2 linked regions of the Arabidopsis thaliana genome follow. Changing the gene in region 1 together with any one later gene gives a genetic interaction. Each region holds a gene or a part of one and is shown on either strand. Other genes may lie near its edges. The genes, in order: ABI4 and UBP24.

The links.
Region 2: changes in ABI4 (region 1) and UBP24 impair growth when combined (synthetic growth defect), as found in Arabidopsis thaliana (one study listed by BioGRID).

What each region holds. Positions count from the first base shown.
Region 1 is NC_003071.7:16,793,727-16,800,934, forward strand, and holds ABI4 (Integrase-type DNA-binding superfamily protein), read right to left. Parts: upstream 3,860-7,208; coding exon 2,873-3,859; 3' UTR 2,521-2,872; downstream 1-2,520. Other genes in the region: AGL48 (AGAMOUS-like 48), read right to left, coding at 1-602.
Region 2 is NC_003075.7:15,033,930-15,043,167, reverse strand, and holds UBP24 (ubiquitin-specific protease 24), read left to right. Parts: upstream 1-3,750; 5' UTR 3,751-4,342; coding exon 4,343-4,357; intron 4,358-4,666; coding exon 4,667-5,356; intron 5,357-5,450; coding exon 5,451-5,635; intron 5,636-5,735; coding exon 5,736-5,989; intron 5,990-6,062; coding exon 6,063-6,208; intron 6,209-6,324; coding exon 6,325-6,501; intron 6,502-6,596; coding exon 6,597-6,785; 3' UTR 6,786-7,148; downstream 7,149-9,238. Other genes in the region: AT4G30910 (Cytosol aminopeptidase family protein), read left to right, coding at 1-53, 137-324, 419-547; AT4G30900 (DNAse I-like superfamily protein), read right to left, coding at 965-1,236, 1,323-1,417, 1,605-1,819, 1,935-2,036, 2,123-2,205, 2,731-2,772, 3,006-3,147; AT4G30880 (Bifunctional inhibitor/lipid-transfer protein/seed storage 2S albumin superfamily protein), read right to left, coding at 7,418-7,434, 7,627-7,939. UniProt on the Arabidopsis thaliana protein: Recognizes and hydrolyzes the peptide bond at the C-terminal Gly of ubiquitin. Involved in the processing of poly-ubiquitin precursors as well as that of ubiquitinated proteins.

The sequences.
Region 1 (7,208 bases):
CTTGTTGCTTCATCTGTCCTTCCAGCTCTTTTATTATCTTGACCGCCTCCTACAAAACCATCATTTGTGGTGGTTTTGAACTCTTCGACTTGTATTTCAAATGGAAACACTGGTGGATCGCGAAGAGGAGGAAATTGCATGAAAGCTAGTTTCTTCCTACAAAGTAGGATAGTATCTCTTGAGAAAGATAACAAGGCATACATCTCACTTTGGTTAAGATCAGCAATTTCACGACCGCTTTGGAGTTGCATCATCAGCTCATCAATGACATGCTCCTTGTTCTTCTTTTTACTCTTCTTCAATTGTTCTTGAAACTTATGTGTCTTCTCTTTTAGGTAGGATTCGACATTTGACTCTTTCTTCTTCTGCACGGACTTCGGTAAAGCGAAAAATTCGTCTAGGAGACCATGAGTCGCCTGAGGAGATGGCCACACCAATGGTCCAACCTTATCGGGGCTGAAAATGATTACAATAGCCCTTACAGCACACAATATGGTTAGCTCTTTCACCTTTTTAAGTAATCCTACCCTCATTTTTTGCAAACTTGTTGCTCTTGACTTGTCATTCTCGATCCATACAAGTTTTACTTTCTTTCTTGTCATGATCACTCTTCGATTTTTATTTCTCTCTTTTAAAATTTTAAATGTTGTTGAGCATATGAATGAAGATTAGCGCGGGAATCCGTTTAAATAGTGTTGAAAAGATGAGATTTTGGAAAATGATACTAGTCAAAAGATGTAAAATTAATTGCTACTTACTAAAAAATATTGAATGTCTATGGTAATGTTTTAGTTAAACCAAACCTTTTAGATCTAAACCAAGTTGAAAATATCAACTCAAAAACTAGAATTTTCCTATGTTTTGGTTATAAAGTTATTTTCAAATATCATAAATACCATAGAAAATTGACTAAAAATGAAACTTATTTTGCTAAAAAAGTAAAAGTTTAAGAACTGAATTCAAAGCTAATTAAAAATTTACCAAACTATATTGGATTTGGTTTTACATTGATTATTCTTTAAAAACAATACTAGTAAACAAAAACTAAAATCCAAATCAAACCATTAACATGTTAAAATCTTTATGTGGTTAATTGTACTATTACAGAAAATTGAAATAACTGAATTTCTGTCCAAATTTAGGTCCTAGTCAATATACCAAATTGATGATTTAATTAATTGTTCTGTCATTATTTAATGCTAATGATTATATTGACTAACATTATTTTCATTGTTGTGAATCATATTAATTCATAGTGTTAGATAATTATTTTGGAAACTAAATGTTGACTATACATTTTCTTCAGTGTAAGTATCATTTTCATATTTACATAGTATGAATTAAATATATATATATATGTATTACCATATGTATACATAAAAGTTGACTCTTGAATTCTTTATTTATAAATTGTTTTTTTTACTTCAGATGTTTTCTTGTTATTACATTGAGACTCTAAACTGAGAATTGTTTATAATTGTTTTATACAAAAAACTGAAACAACAATACTTTTAAGGGAAAAATATAAGAGAATAATATATTCTTAAAACTCTAATGGACATCTTGTATCTTTTTCTTTTTCTTTGTTTAGCGATCTTTTTTCTCTCATCGTTGTGTTGTTGTGGTTGAATGTTTTCTTTTGTGTACGTAGTAACTCTCTTTGTTTCTCGATTTTGTTTTTTTTGGATTCGGTTTGGTACTACTTTGCCAGATTTCAATAATACCAAGATATAGAGGAAAACAATAAAACTAAGCTTTATTCCACATTGTCTGGTGATCTTTCATAAACAACATTGTATGATTTGATTACCAAAATAATCGGTTCTAGAAAAGTTTATGTCAATCTCTATCTAGTATATGAATCACCATACCCATATTTGTGCACTTAAATTATTACGTAACCAAGATATAGAAAAGTGTTGTGATTTCATATAACAAATGAAAATATAATAATCTATTTTGTTGTGTTTTGTATATATAATTATTATAAATTAAATTAATTATTAATATTGAAATATTCATGTATAACCCAGTCAGATATGGGATTATTTTTAATTTAAATTTTGTATAATACTGTTAAAAGATTCGAAATATAATCATAAACAAAAAATAAAATTGATTTTTTCTTGTCAACTTCCAATAAACACCATAGTAAACAAGAAATCACAGGACAAGGGAAATACAGAAACGGAGAACTCTTTTTAGTCAAAGAAAGCTAGGATTCGGACAAAATCATGTCCAAACACTTTGAAGGATGATCGATACAAAAAATTGTAAACTTGAATATGAAGTGTTGGTGTGAGAATACCCAGCTCGAATAATGTAAATAATCTTCTCAACGACAACAATTATGCATCCAGTGATGAACACTTTTTGAAAACGTGTTTCTCTCCATAGTTTCTACATTGATGATTCCTATATTACTAAAACTTAATAGAGATATGTGTAAATATTCTCAGAGATAAACAAAATATAACTATATATAACCTCTGAAACTCGAACAACCAAACAGAAATTATCATATCCTATCAATAATTATATATTAAGGTAGGCACACTGTGAAGGAAGTGTTGAACCAATAAAATTCCCATACAACTTTCCACCATCTCCTCCGATTCTCTTCCACATATACATACTTTATTGGAACCGTAATCTCTTTTACGAATTCCTTGAAAATAAAAATCTTCAAAAAAATAATAAAAATACCCTCTTATTTATCTCTATAGGTAGTAAAAAAATCCTCCAAAATTTTGCATGCAGAGCTCCTCATAGAATGCAATCTCTTTGATTCCTCTCAACAATGAATCTCCAATGCTCTTGACCGACCTTAGGGATGCTCATCGTATATAATATGATCTTCCACAAAAACAAATTAATAGAATTCCCCCAAGATGGGATCAATAAAATCCCAAATACTCCCCCAATTATGACTATATTCTTCTTCTCCTCCAAAAGGCCAAATGGTCGAAGATCCATCTCCAACCATATAACCCGGATCCAGACCCATAGAACATACCGGATCAACCAACGGCGGTGGATGAGTTATTGATAGACTCGAACCCACCGAACCAGCTAGAGAGTTCAAATCCTCCATCGAACTATTATTATTACACCCACTTCCTCCTTGTTCCTGCCCTAACGCCACCTCATGATGAAACGAAGTCGAATTAGTTACCGGAACATCAGTGAGCTCGATGTCAGAAATCTTGTTATTGTTAGTATTAGAATGAAGATTCTGATACTGTTGGTGTTGGAATTGTCCCATCTGGACCATCTGATTTTGTTGTTGTTGTTGTTGAGGGAAAAAACCATAACTAGGGCATAACATAGAGGTCCCACCATTAAGGAAGATGTTGTTGTTAAAAGGGATACCGTACGGACCAAAGTTGGCTCCTCCTCCTACGGTGGCGGCGGCGGGGCGAGGGAGGAGAGGTCTTAGGGTTTGAGTGGAGGAAGAGGAGGTGGAAGGAGAAGAAGCGGCGGAGACGGAGGAGGAAGAGGAAGAGACGGAGGAAGGAGACGAAGGGGTTAAGTTGAGCTGAGCACGTGACCCGTATAGGTAAACGGCAGCCCGGTCGTAGGCACGTGCGGCGTCTTCGGCGGTTGCGAAAGTACCAAGCCACTTGCGAGTGCGCTTACGTGGCTCTCGGATCTCGGCGACCCATTTGCCCCAGCTTCTTTGTCGAACGCCACGGTAACGGAACTTGGAGTTGTCCGGACCACCTTTGCCTTTGCGTTTGCGTTGAGCGGAGGAAGTTGATGAGTCGGTGGTGGAATCGGATTGAGGATTATTATGGGTTAGGGTTTGGTTATTATCTTCCAGATGGTTGTGTTGATGTTGGGAAGCTAAAGGGTCCATAGATGAAGAAGAAGAAGAAGAAGAAGAGGAAGAGGAAGTAGAGAGAGAAAGAGAGAGATTAAAGAAATTGAGAAAAATAGTGGAGAGGACGAATCAAGAAGGAAGGGAAACTGAAGAGTGTTTGAATGTCATCGTTGTGAATGGTCGATTAGGGCGGTGCTTCTTTTATTTATACTTACACTCTCTTCTCACTCACTTCTTTTTTTCTTTTCTTTTTACTTACCCGTTTGTTTTCTACCAAAGAAGAAATTTGTGTTGTCATAAGTTACTTGTTACACATTGGAATGTAATCAAGGATATTATAAAAACATTTAATTGCTTTCTTTCTTTTGGGTAACTATAGCAAATCATGAGCGATATATAACAATATCTTGAAGTTGGTTCTTTTCTTTGATTGGATGGGTAATTGTGAGAAATACTCGCATGTTGAAAACACTCCAAGGCATTCAGATTTCAGAGGATTCAACCAGAGAGAACTGAATCAAATTCACCAAGGTTAGGAATATTGCAACATATATAAGAGAAATAAGCGTGTTCAAAAATATATATTAAGAGAAATAAGAAACGAATAATCTAAGATGGAACAGAGATATCATTTTTGTTTGTTTTTCTAAGTACTTGTCAATTTAAATTGTAACAAAAACATAGCAAAAGATAGGCAATTTAAAAGATTAAGAAGATCAAGTGAATAAAACAGTAGACAAAGATAACAAAGAAAATGATTTATGAGTTCAAGAATTAAAAGCATCGTTTAAAGTTGGCAAGCAATGAAACTAGAATAAATCATTACATAACGGCTAACGGGGGCTGATTAGCCATAAATTGTAGAGAATGAAACACTAATCAATGAATAATTACAAAGCGTGGCATGAATTACCCAATTTTGTTCAACTCTCTTGCAATTTAAGTGGTTAACAAGCATTAACAGATAAGTATACTAAAAAGGATCAAGGTAATTAATCTACCATTACCAACAACCCTAGTAAAAGATCTAAATGCATTTTTAATAGTGATCTTTATATTTTCCTCTATTTATAGAGGTGACTCTATTTTAAAGGCATTATGTTCAAATGGTCACCTCTAAAATAGAGTTTTCTCTATAATAGAGGAAGAAATAGAAATATTTACTTTTTGTCTCTATAAATAGAGATCTCTACAATTCATCTCTAATTTTTCTTCTATTTTTGAGGAAACTCTATTTTAGAGGTGACCATTGGAGCACAATGCTTCTAAAATAGAGGCACCTCTAAAATAGAGAAAATTATAGAGGTGACCATTGGAGATGGTCTAACCATATTCGCCCCTAATTTGGTTTTAATCTAACTTTTAGTGTTGAACTTAACCGAAGCTTCTATACTTGATGATTATGATCTTAGAGAAAAATTTAAGCTGTTGGGAAATCACCTTATGATACTATTTTTTTGATGTTTTATCTTTATACGTAAAATAAAATTGTAAACATAGATATAATTAAGGGATCGGAGGAAAAACATCTGGTACAACACGTATCATATTTTTGGACATAAGTAAAAACTAGAATCATATTTCTGGAGTAGTACTTGTTAAATTTTGGAGAAGAAAAATAAGTTGATTTGCGCACTCGGAGAGTGTTGCAGATCCATTGCCTGCTGCAGCCACTGGAGGGACAGAAATACAGATGCAGAGAGACACAGTAATTATTTTTCTGCTTTCATTACATAGATATATGTGTTCATTTAGTCCACTTAACACCATTCTTGGAAGACGACTTGGCTTCAGTCAAATACTTCGTCCGATAGATTTAGATTTTGGATACTACACCTTTTATTAATCTTAAAAAAGAATTATGTAGAAATTTAAAATACTCACATGTCAATGGATAAATAAATAAATATATTAAAAAGAGGAGTTATAGTGTAGATATTTATGTACGCTTCTTCTTTCTTTTTTTGTCATCATTTATGTATGCTTCGACTTTAAGAAATATTAAAAACAAAATATAACTGACATTTTTTATAAGAAAAGGAATTTTGAAAACAGAGAGAAGAGAAGAGAGTTTATTTTTTTGGTCGCCTAGAAAGACTAATCTACCGTATAGATTATGATGTTTGACCCACAAATATAACAAATGGAAGACCATTAACGTTTAGACTTTTTTCGAAATAAAAACTTGACTTCTTAGATCTTATACCATTGAAATTAAGAGACAAATTTTCTTAATATTCTTTTACTAAAAGTAAAAATAAATAAAATAAGAATTTGTTGAATTATCTATTGTTCTTATGAATGGTAGCATATACATGACTCCTTTTAATCTATAAAACATAACTCTTAGAACTATCGTCATAATAACAAGTTTACTTAGAAACTTTTCATTGATACTACTAATATAGAATTAAAGATTCGTCTGCAAGGGATTTACTTTTGTTGTTTGCCAACTACAAAACTATCAATTATTAAACGAAGAGAAAAATAGGAATATTGCATGGGAGAGATGAGGTGGCGAGGAAAGAAGCAAAGACAGCAAAAGAACCAAAGCTTTTTGTGTTGTGGTTTCTGAGATCTCAACCCAATTGCCTTGGAACTCTCACCTTTTTATGTCTCAGCAGAACCCAACTAGTTGCGCCATACATTCATTTTCTTGCATTTATCCACTTTATTATATAGTATCAATCAATATAGCTTGATTATTCCAATCTCAATCATTCACGTGAAATTTTGTATAACAATGACTCAAACATTTGATAACATTAAAGAGACATTGTTGAAGGCTTTTTTTTTAGTCAAATGATTTCCAGATGCTTAAGTTAAAATGATGACTATATCAAAAGGCAAAGAATTTCAATGCTTTGCTCACTAAGTTCTGCAACGGATCAAATATATGTTTCGAAAGATAGAAAGTGTTCATGTTTGAATATTTTCATATAAAAAAAAGCAAATGGTTGTTGCGGCAGAGGAATATTGTCGAGCAAGATGATAAAAATATTCACATGCCCACGATTACAAACCGTGGGCTGCACTTTAAACAACAGCTAAGATTATGTGTGCGTCTATATAAAAAAAAAAATGAATTCTCAAAAAACCTTTACGAAATTCTCAACCAATGCCTAAGGAAAAACACCAGTAAGGTCCAAAAACTTGTTAACGATTCAAAACATTTCTATTTTCCAAAACGCACAGTGAAATGAATGCTCTGGGCTAATAATGCCCAAGAAAAAACACCAGTAAGGTCCTAAAACATATAAAGCCGTTATAGGCTTCAAGAACCTCAACTCAAATCACTCACCAAGCCTCTATAGTATAGACGATGGAGAAGCATTCATATTGGGCTTTCTGGTCCATTCCTTTTTTATAATCCGTCCATTTTAAG
Region 2 (9,238 bases), on another chromosome or scaffold:
CATTGCAACATTGACCGGGGAGATTATTGTTGCTCTTGGACCATCAATGGCAGGTACATAGTCTTGTGTATAAAATAGACAGAATGACATTCTTTCGTGATGATTGAATATTGGTTTCGATTTTTGATTTCTGCAGGCATGTACACAGCTAGTGATGAGCTTGCCAAGGAGGTAATTGCTGCATCACAGAGGAGTGGAGAGAAGTTATGGAGAATGCCTATGGAAGAGAGTTATTGGGAGATGATGAAGTCAGGTGTTGCAGATATGGTTAACTTTGGAGGCCGTGCAGGTGGATCCATCACCGCAGCTCTCTTTTTGAAACGGGTGAGGATACCATAAGAGTGGAAACAAAAAAACACACTTCAATACTGATTCTATTGTTCTCTAACGAAGAACCGGATTTGGTTAATGGTTGCAGTTTGTTAGCGAGAATGTTGAGTGGTTGCACATAGATATGGCTGGACGGGTGTGGAACGAGAAGAAGAAAGCTGCGACTGGGTTTGGAGTTGCGACACTTGTTGAGTGGGTACAGAACAATTCTTCTTAAGATGTAGGCAGGTGATCTTTGTGCTCCCAGTTCTTATTTAACATTCTCAGAGGTTTTAATGTAGGTAAAAGGGTTTTTATTTGCTTGTGTGAACTGTGAAGTGTGACGCTTGAATATGACGAGTTACCCATTTGAAAGTATTTGACTATTTGTAGATATTCTTGTGTTCCGTAACATCACTTACCTAATAACACAAACTATTAGGAGCACAAGATGAAGGATACAAGTCGTCAATCTTATGTTTCAGTGGTCATCAATAATAACACAAACTATTAGGAGCAAACAAAACAATTTATTTAAATCTCTTTTGAATATGTTTTAGCTCAAATCAATAAATAAAGGCGCCGAGAAAAAAACAGAGCTCATTTGCACAACAATCAGTATAGTCCAAAGCTTAAGCAAGTGAGGACATGTGTTCTAGCTTTCCTCTTGAGCAGGAGCAGAAACAGGAGGAGTAGGTTCAAGCATTCTTACAGAACGAGGAAGCATAAACTCAGCAAACACAGGGTAGTGAGATGAAGGATACAAGTCGTCAATCTTATCATTTACGATCTCGCACATTACAGGAACTATAGATCTACCTCTGTAAAGTATCCAATCCGTGTGTAGATCTTGCGTCTGTCGGTCCCAGCAGAGGCATAACGCTCTGAATATCAGCTTCAGGAACTCGACCGTTCCCTGCTTGTCACCTGAACAAAGGCCCAACATGTTATGATCTAGAAGCTTTGGAGATAAATGATTTTTATAGCTCATGAGAGGGTGGAATGTTTCACACCTTTGAAATCATGGTATGTTCTTATGAGAGCGACGTTTTTTCTTACTCGGGCACTTGGCCATGCGTCTCTCATATCTCCTACCACACCATGCTCTCTGCAAGTTGAATGATGCCCAAAAGCCATTCATCAGCAGTCAAATAAGTAAATATGCTTTGATTTGAAACTAGTTGATCAGTGTGTGAAGAATGGTTTAGCCATTCTTGCATTAACTAGGAGCCCTGAAAGAAAACTCTAGGAGATTGGTAAAAAGCACAAAACTTGTGAATGTGATATTAAGGTACCTAGATCTGCCCAACAGAAACCGCCCTGTTGTTGATTCCTTCTGTGTGTTGAATCCTCCACAGTACACAACCGGCAAAGTGGGAGGTAATGATGCTATGTGTTGCCATGTGAGTAAAGCACTTCGCCTACGGGCACGAGGGCTGATTTCATCCAAGTTTGTGTTGACTATCTGAAACGAAAAACCAGGCGGCTCCGCTCCTTTAAGTTGGAATGTGTAGGCAGCTTGTCAAAGAAAACCAAAATACTGATATATAGGACAAAAACACCAAAATCATAAACTAATCTAATTATAGTTTAACTAAAATGAACCCAACTAGTAAAAAGGATATAGCCCATGTCGCTATACAAGGAACTGCGGAACCCCATGCCGTGCTTCCAGGGACCGAGGGAGACTCTGACAACCAAAAAGTTCCACCCTCTAGCAGCTCTACCTTCAATTAGTATAAAGTATAGTATCAAGCAGCGTATTAATTATTTAGAGCGTAGTTATGTATTGTCTTATCAACCGAATTAATACTTTTTCCTTGTTGAAGAAGATGGTGCAGTGTTCATCATTAGCATCCCCAGGTCCTGTTCTTGATATGCCAAATTGATCATAGGCTGCAAGCAAAGAGTACTACCATCTATTTAAGTTCAAAGAAACAATGCAAACTGAAGTATTATTAAGGCATGTGAAACTAGAAGCTAAGCTCCATGGTTCACAGTAACAAAAACCAGATAAACAATACCACCATCATTTCAAAGAAAGCACCTGTAAATGTGAGAATATCATGCATTCCATTGCCATAAAACAGATGCATTAAGTGCACTAGACTCCGGCTTTTGTAGCCTAAAAACACTAACTTGAACTTGATGCAAAAAAGGATACGGATTGACAAATTGGCTATCAGATTTAAGCAATACCAACATATACTAAAAATAGAATTAAATCTAGTAGATCACAAATAGATTTACATAGTAGATTGAGAACAAGAAGAGTGGTCTACGATTGATAACAAGATTCACACTAGTCTGTGAACTTAAGAAGAAGCAGACTGCTGTATACAAACAGGGTTCAATTAGACCTAACTCACACCATTTAAGTAGAGATTAGACTTCCATAAATCAAAGAGAATTCAATTATACCTGGCAACCCCTGCTGAAGATAATCCAACTGCGACTTCACACCTAACCAATGTAAACATGATAACAAAAGATCAAAACGAAAATCCTATCTCTGTTCAATATTTCAGAAGGCAAGAAAAAGCACAAGAATCAATCTCCAGCATTCAGGAAAAAGAAGCCTTCTTGGAGAACCAATATAAAGAAGGAAGCAAGATCTAACAAGCATTGAATCACCAATACGAAGAAGGAATCAAAGATCTAACAAGCATTGATCCATTGTGGCTAAAGATTATTACCTTGTTGGGTACAGAGAACAATGGGGGAGTAACTAGTGATGACAGTGAGACACAAATCTTTCCTTTTGAGCCATGAATTAGGGCTTTCTTCAGGTAGATCATCGTGAAGATTGAATGACATCACACTCAAAGACACACTCATTGTTTTGTCTCCTTTCTTCTTCTTCTTCTTCCTCTAGTTTTCTCTCTTCTTTCTTTATGGTTTGGTAAGACGAATAAAAACAAAGGTCTCTCTCACATCAGCAGCAGCTCATCGTCGTCGTGACCTACATGATTTTCAATAATAAGTCAAAAGCTTATCAATTTTTATGTGAAAAAACAGCTCAGGATTCGAAGAAAGAAAATCAATCAACATAATTTATTATATTATATTATTGAGGAATCCAATACGAACCTTGTTGTTTCAGACTCTTATCAACAACAACAGTGGAGAAAATGAGTCTTGGACATTTGACGACTTTTGCTGGAAAATCTGTGAAAGTCATGCCCTTTGATCACCAAAAGTCTCTTAAAGCCATTTCCTGATACATGTATAAATCAGCAACTTCAGAAACAAATCAAATCGGAAACGGGGGAAGAAGAAGAAGAAGAGTAACTAATCGGAGGAGGGACCGGTGAAGTCACGGTGGAGGGACCGGTGGAGTCACGGTGGACTAATCGTCGGCTTTTTGGTCTCTCTCTAGATTTTTTTAAGGTTTAAAATTAATTTCAGACAAGCTTCGAACCCGAGACATGGAACCCCTACAGACACGTGAGTTTTTAATAACCGTTCAGACCAAACAGGAGTAACAACAACTGTTTGAGATAGTTTTGTTGAATAACCGAATTAAACCAAAGTGAATACAAAACCGAACCGAGATTTATATTTGTAAAGATACGACGACGCCTTTGACGAAAAAGGAGACGAAGAAGATCCAAACACGGCGCTAAGCTAAGCTCCGTTCTCCTCCTCAAAACTATCCGACAAAAGACAGAAGCAGAAACCTAACCCTAATTTCCTTTTCTCAAAATCCCCGAAAGGTCCGTCTCTCTCTCTATCTATCTCTCTAACTTAGCTCTCCTCCAAATTCGGATGATTACCCATTACGAATTTGCAGAGAAGAACAAATCCTCTCTTTCTTCTTCCTCCGTCTCTCTACCCCTTTCATGTCTTCTCAAGTCTACGACTCTCATCCAGGGTTGTTGGTGCATCAAACCCTAGTTTTTGATTTCGCTTTTGAGATTTCTCATGCTTCTTTCGTTTCGGATCTCTCTCTGAATCAGATTACGTCTTTTGGGCTCTTGTTGTTGTTGTGCTGCTCTTCAATCTCTTCTCCGTTGCGTTCTATGTGCCAAATATGAGTGAAAAGAAGGTAATTTCCTACTACTTGTTGTTTGCCTCTTGAGTTTCTTCACTTATTTTGTTTCCCTTAAGGTTTAGTTCTCATGGTCTAGAGAACGATGCAGAGGTCACCCAATTGCAATAGAGACTAGTTTTAGGTGGTTTAGTTTCATGGAGATAGTATCTTTTTATAGCTTCGTTTTGATCATTTTGTAGTTTTTCTCTGAGGTCAATGTATATCCGAGAGACTTAACTTTCATTATCATTTGGTTTCTTAATTGTTCTGTAAATGATTCTCCTTTGAAACTTACATTTGCTATTCTACTTTTATTCATGGCAGGTATTTGTGTTTGGATCCTTTACAGAACATGAAACTAGGTCATTTTTTGAGCAGAAACCCACTAAGGATCCTCAGAATTCTAAAGACAAGTGTGTGGGAAGTATTCAATTTGGCTCCTTGAATCTTGCTGCGGAAAATTCTTCAGTAAATACTAATGGCGAGTTGAAGAAAGGTGAGGCTGATGGGACAGTTAAATCTGCTGGGTCTCAAGAGAGACTTGATGCTTCTAGACCTGCCAGCTCGGATAAGAACAATGATAGTGATGCAAAACTCCCAAGAAAGAACTCTTTGAGAGTTCCAGAGCATGTGGTACAAAATGGAATCATAAAAGAGATCTCTGAAAGCAACAAATCTCTCAACAATGGTGTGGCGGTGAAAACAGATCCTATTGGTTTGGATAACTTGTCTATGTCTGATGGTGAAAGTGATCCTGTGTATAAAGCTTCGAGCTCTAAATTTCAAGCGCTGGACAATGAAGATTTCTCAAGTGACTCTTCGTCTGGAAGCATTCAAAGAAAGAAAAACCTGAAGGTTCCTACTGAATCTGTTCCACCTGTTAAAGACTTTACACCAAGAGGATTAATAAACGCTGGAAACTTGTGCTTCCTGAATGCAACACTACAAGCGTTGCTTTCATGTTCTCCTTTTGTGCAGCTCCTCCAGAAAATTCAACTCCAAGATATTCCAAAGGTTTTTAACGTACATTGTTCCTTTTGTGATTTTGGTTCTATTTCCTATAATATTTGTTTTCTTATCGATATTCTTCCATTTTCTTTTTTATCAGGCTGACTCTCCAACCTTAGCTGCATTTTCCGAGTTCATCTCCGAATTGGATGTGCCAAGCAGTTCCAGCATCAGAAATAACGTTACTGTTGTTGAGGCTGGTAGACCTTTTAGACCTGCCATGTTCGAAGGAGTCCTTAGAAATTTTACCCCAGATGTACTCAACAACATGTCTGGTAGGCCAAGGTTAGTGACTCCCTTACACAGTCTAAATTTTGATGGTTCCTCTGTTTTAAATAGTTCATATGTATGTCCCTATTCTAACTTTGTGTGCATGTACTGGCAGGCAGGAAGATGCTCAAGAGTTTTTGAGTTTTATAATGGACCAAATGCATGATGAGTTGTTGAAACTCAAGGAACAGTCCCCCAAAGTCACCGCTTCTAAGTCATCGGTTATTTCTTCTGCCAACGATGATGGTGATGAATGGGAAACAGTTGGACCCAAAAACAAATCAGCTGTGACAAGAACACAAAGTTTTGTTCCGTCTGAGCTTAGTGAGATATTTGGCGGGCAGCTTAAAAGCGTAGTGAAGGCAAAAGGTATTTGTATTTTTTGTAATCATTCTAAATTTCTTTCATGATAGAATTTTCTCATATGTCATTTATGGTACAGGAACTAAAGCTTCGGCTACTGTACAGCCGTATCTCTTGCTACACCTTGATATTCATCCGGACGGTGTGCAAGGAATAGAAGACGCGTTGCATTTGTTTTCTGCCCAAGAAGATCTTGAAGGATATAGAGCCTCGGTTACTGGGAAGGTAAACTATTTCTCTTTTTACTATATTGAAGCTGTGGGATTTTAGGACCCAAAATATTTCTTATGGATTTCAAATAATAATTTGCCTCGTTACTTGTTTGGATTCTCTCATTTCAGACTGGTGTAGTGAGTGCTAGTAAGTCGATAAAGATACAGAAACTCTCAAAGATAATGATACTGCACCTAATGCGTTTTAGCTACGGAAGCCAAGGGAGTACTAAGCTGCGTAAAGGCGTTAAATTTCCCCTTGAACTCAACTTAAACCGCAGCCATCTTGTTTCTCTATCCAATGAGGTATAAAGCCGAAGCAGAACTGTCTATGTTTCACATTTCTCTTACTCTCTATGTGATATCCCTCTGTTGTGAACTAGTCAAATTTCTTCTTGTAGAGTTTGAGATATGAACTTGTGGCAACAATTACCCACCACGGATGGGATCCCTCAAAAGGACACTACACCACAGATGCTCGACGAAAGAATGGTCAATGGCTAAGGTTTGATGATGCCTCTGTGACCCCCATAGGGACAAAACTGGTGTTGCACGATCAAGCCTATGTCCTCTTCTACAAGCAAGTGTAAGAGATTCAAAGGCAGCAGATTTCCATGGTCGGAGAAAGAAGAGTAAACTCTTTATCGGCTTGTGTCCGGTCTTCTGAGTTTAAGTCACGATGCTATAATCTGGTTCTCATCTTATATAACTTTGAAGGAGGGGGTCTCAGTAGGTAAATAGTTTTAGAGTACCTGGTTTACACTGGAAGTTTTGTTATGATTCCTTGAGATGGGTGTTTTAATCTGATTTTACTACTTCATAGACTTATTATTCGAAAATTCATGTCTTATGCTACATGTCTTCTTATCATTGGCCTAATCTTCCTTTTCATGGTTCAATCAATCAAGTAGAAGGCGATGAAATGACAAACTGGTTTAAAGATTCGGTTTTTATTCTAGATCATGGAATTTAGAGATTCAATAAGTACTCTGGATCCTTGGTTAGTGATCCAGTTAATTATTCTAGATCATAGTTTAGAGAGCCGGTTAATTAATCTAAATCATGGTTTAGAAATCTGGTTGTTTACTCAAAATCATGGTTTAGTGATAAAGTTTTCCTCTTTCGAATCTTAAACAAGGAAAATAAATTTATTTCATTCAACATATTAGAGATTACAAGAGTACATTTCAAACCCTTAGCTCTCAAGTTCTGGTCCCAAATCTCATGGCACAACGTAACCTGCCACATTAGGAACATCAAAACATTACGATCATCATGTTAATACAAAAAAATGTATCAAAGATTTACAAGTTTTGTAATATTTTTTTTGCAAAATACAAACAATCACAACATAGCTCTAGCGAGACCTTCAATTTTTACAAGATTAAAATCATAAAAGAAGAAAACTTCTTAATATATATATAGACTTACTTCCACACTTGGTACCATGAGCGAGAGGCTTCCCACAAAAGGCAGTGACATGAACAACCTTATCCATGTCTATCATTTGTTGCACCGAAGCTGTGATACGGCCACATGCGCAAGGGATGTCTGATCTCTTAACCACTCTGCAGCACGCTTCGGACGGGTTTACCTTTGGGCCTGGACGCTGCACGTAGACGGCGCATTCTTTCATCAGACCTTCGATGTCTCCTTGGCACGTTCCTTGCCCTGGAACTGGTAGTGTTCCTGAGATCACAAGGATCATTGTTAGACCAATCAAAGCACGAGAACCGATCACCATTTTAGTTTGAATCTAGTGAGAGTATCTTTGAGTTTTTGGTTGAAGAGAAGTTGTTTAGGGGTCTTATATAGTGGCTTTGGAGGTTTTAAGGGTTTGTGTTGCATGCGAGGTTATCTTCTTCTTTTTTTTCTTTCTTTTATGATGAGACTTAATTAGTTTGATTTTTCCAATTGGTTTCATGTGACAAAAGACTTGAATTTTTCTAAGAGATTCTGAAGATGTTTCCTCGTAACTACAACTACATGGCAGCCAATGCATGAAACTTATATGTTATGAAATTAATGTACTATTGATAGATAAGTAAACGACAAACAAATCCAAAGATGAACCAAAGGGACAAGCTATTTTAATTATCAAAACATATCAATTTTCTTCAAAAGTATTTATTGTACCAAGTGAATGATATGTTTCTTACTTTGGATTCTCCCTGTTATTCAAGAAAATACATTCCTTTAAATTTAGTAAAACAAATCTACAACTTTTAATTTAACTGAAGAAAGAAAATAAAGAGAGGCGCTTCGAATCTTTATCATTGCTATTAACTTCATCAAAACTGTATATAAAGATCTCGCACTCTCATGACAGAACAAATTATTTGATATAACCAAACAGAACAAAACAAATTCTATAAATACTACAATAATCATAATACAAAATCGCTATTACTTGCTTTGTAATCGCATAAAAAATCTTGGAGAATACAAAATCGCGTTTCTTACTTGCTTTGTAATCGCGCTCAGCATTTGCGTCGAGCTTTACGGTTTTGACGTCGTGAGGGTTCTCCGTTCCACCGCAGATTCACCGGAAAATCGAACCGTCGAATTGGTTCCCAAGAAAATCTCTTTCCATGAGTCCCTTTACGTGTCAATCTCCGAAGATAAAGTCAATGAATGGCCTCTGCAAGACTATTTCTATCGAGATACTTGCCCTAACGCGAAGGTAACCGTTGGTAAAGCAATCCGAGAAATCTACAAGGCCAAACTAAGTATCGCGCCGTCTCTCATCCGGCTCCTCTTTCACGATTGTTTCATCGATGTCAGATTTTTCTTACTTTCTCTTGATGCATTGAGTTTTCTTTGGAAATTGGCTTAGTCAATCGATTCATGTATGTTAAATCTGACTCAAATTAGCATTTCTTGGAAGTTACTGTAGTAGAATCTTAATTTCTAGGTCTTAGCCACTGATATGCAGAAATAAGGGGTTTGATTCTTTGTTATTAGAGTCAAATTCAGCTCTTGTTGGAGTTGTGTTCTATTATTACCCAAAAAAGCCGCCAAAGCAATTTCCAAATGTGAACAG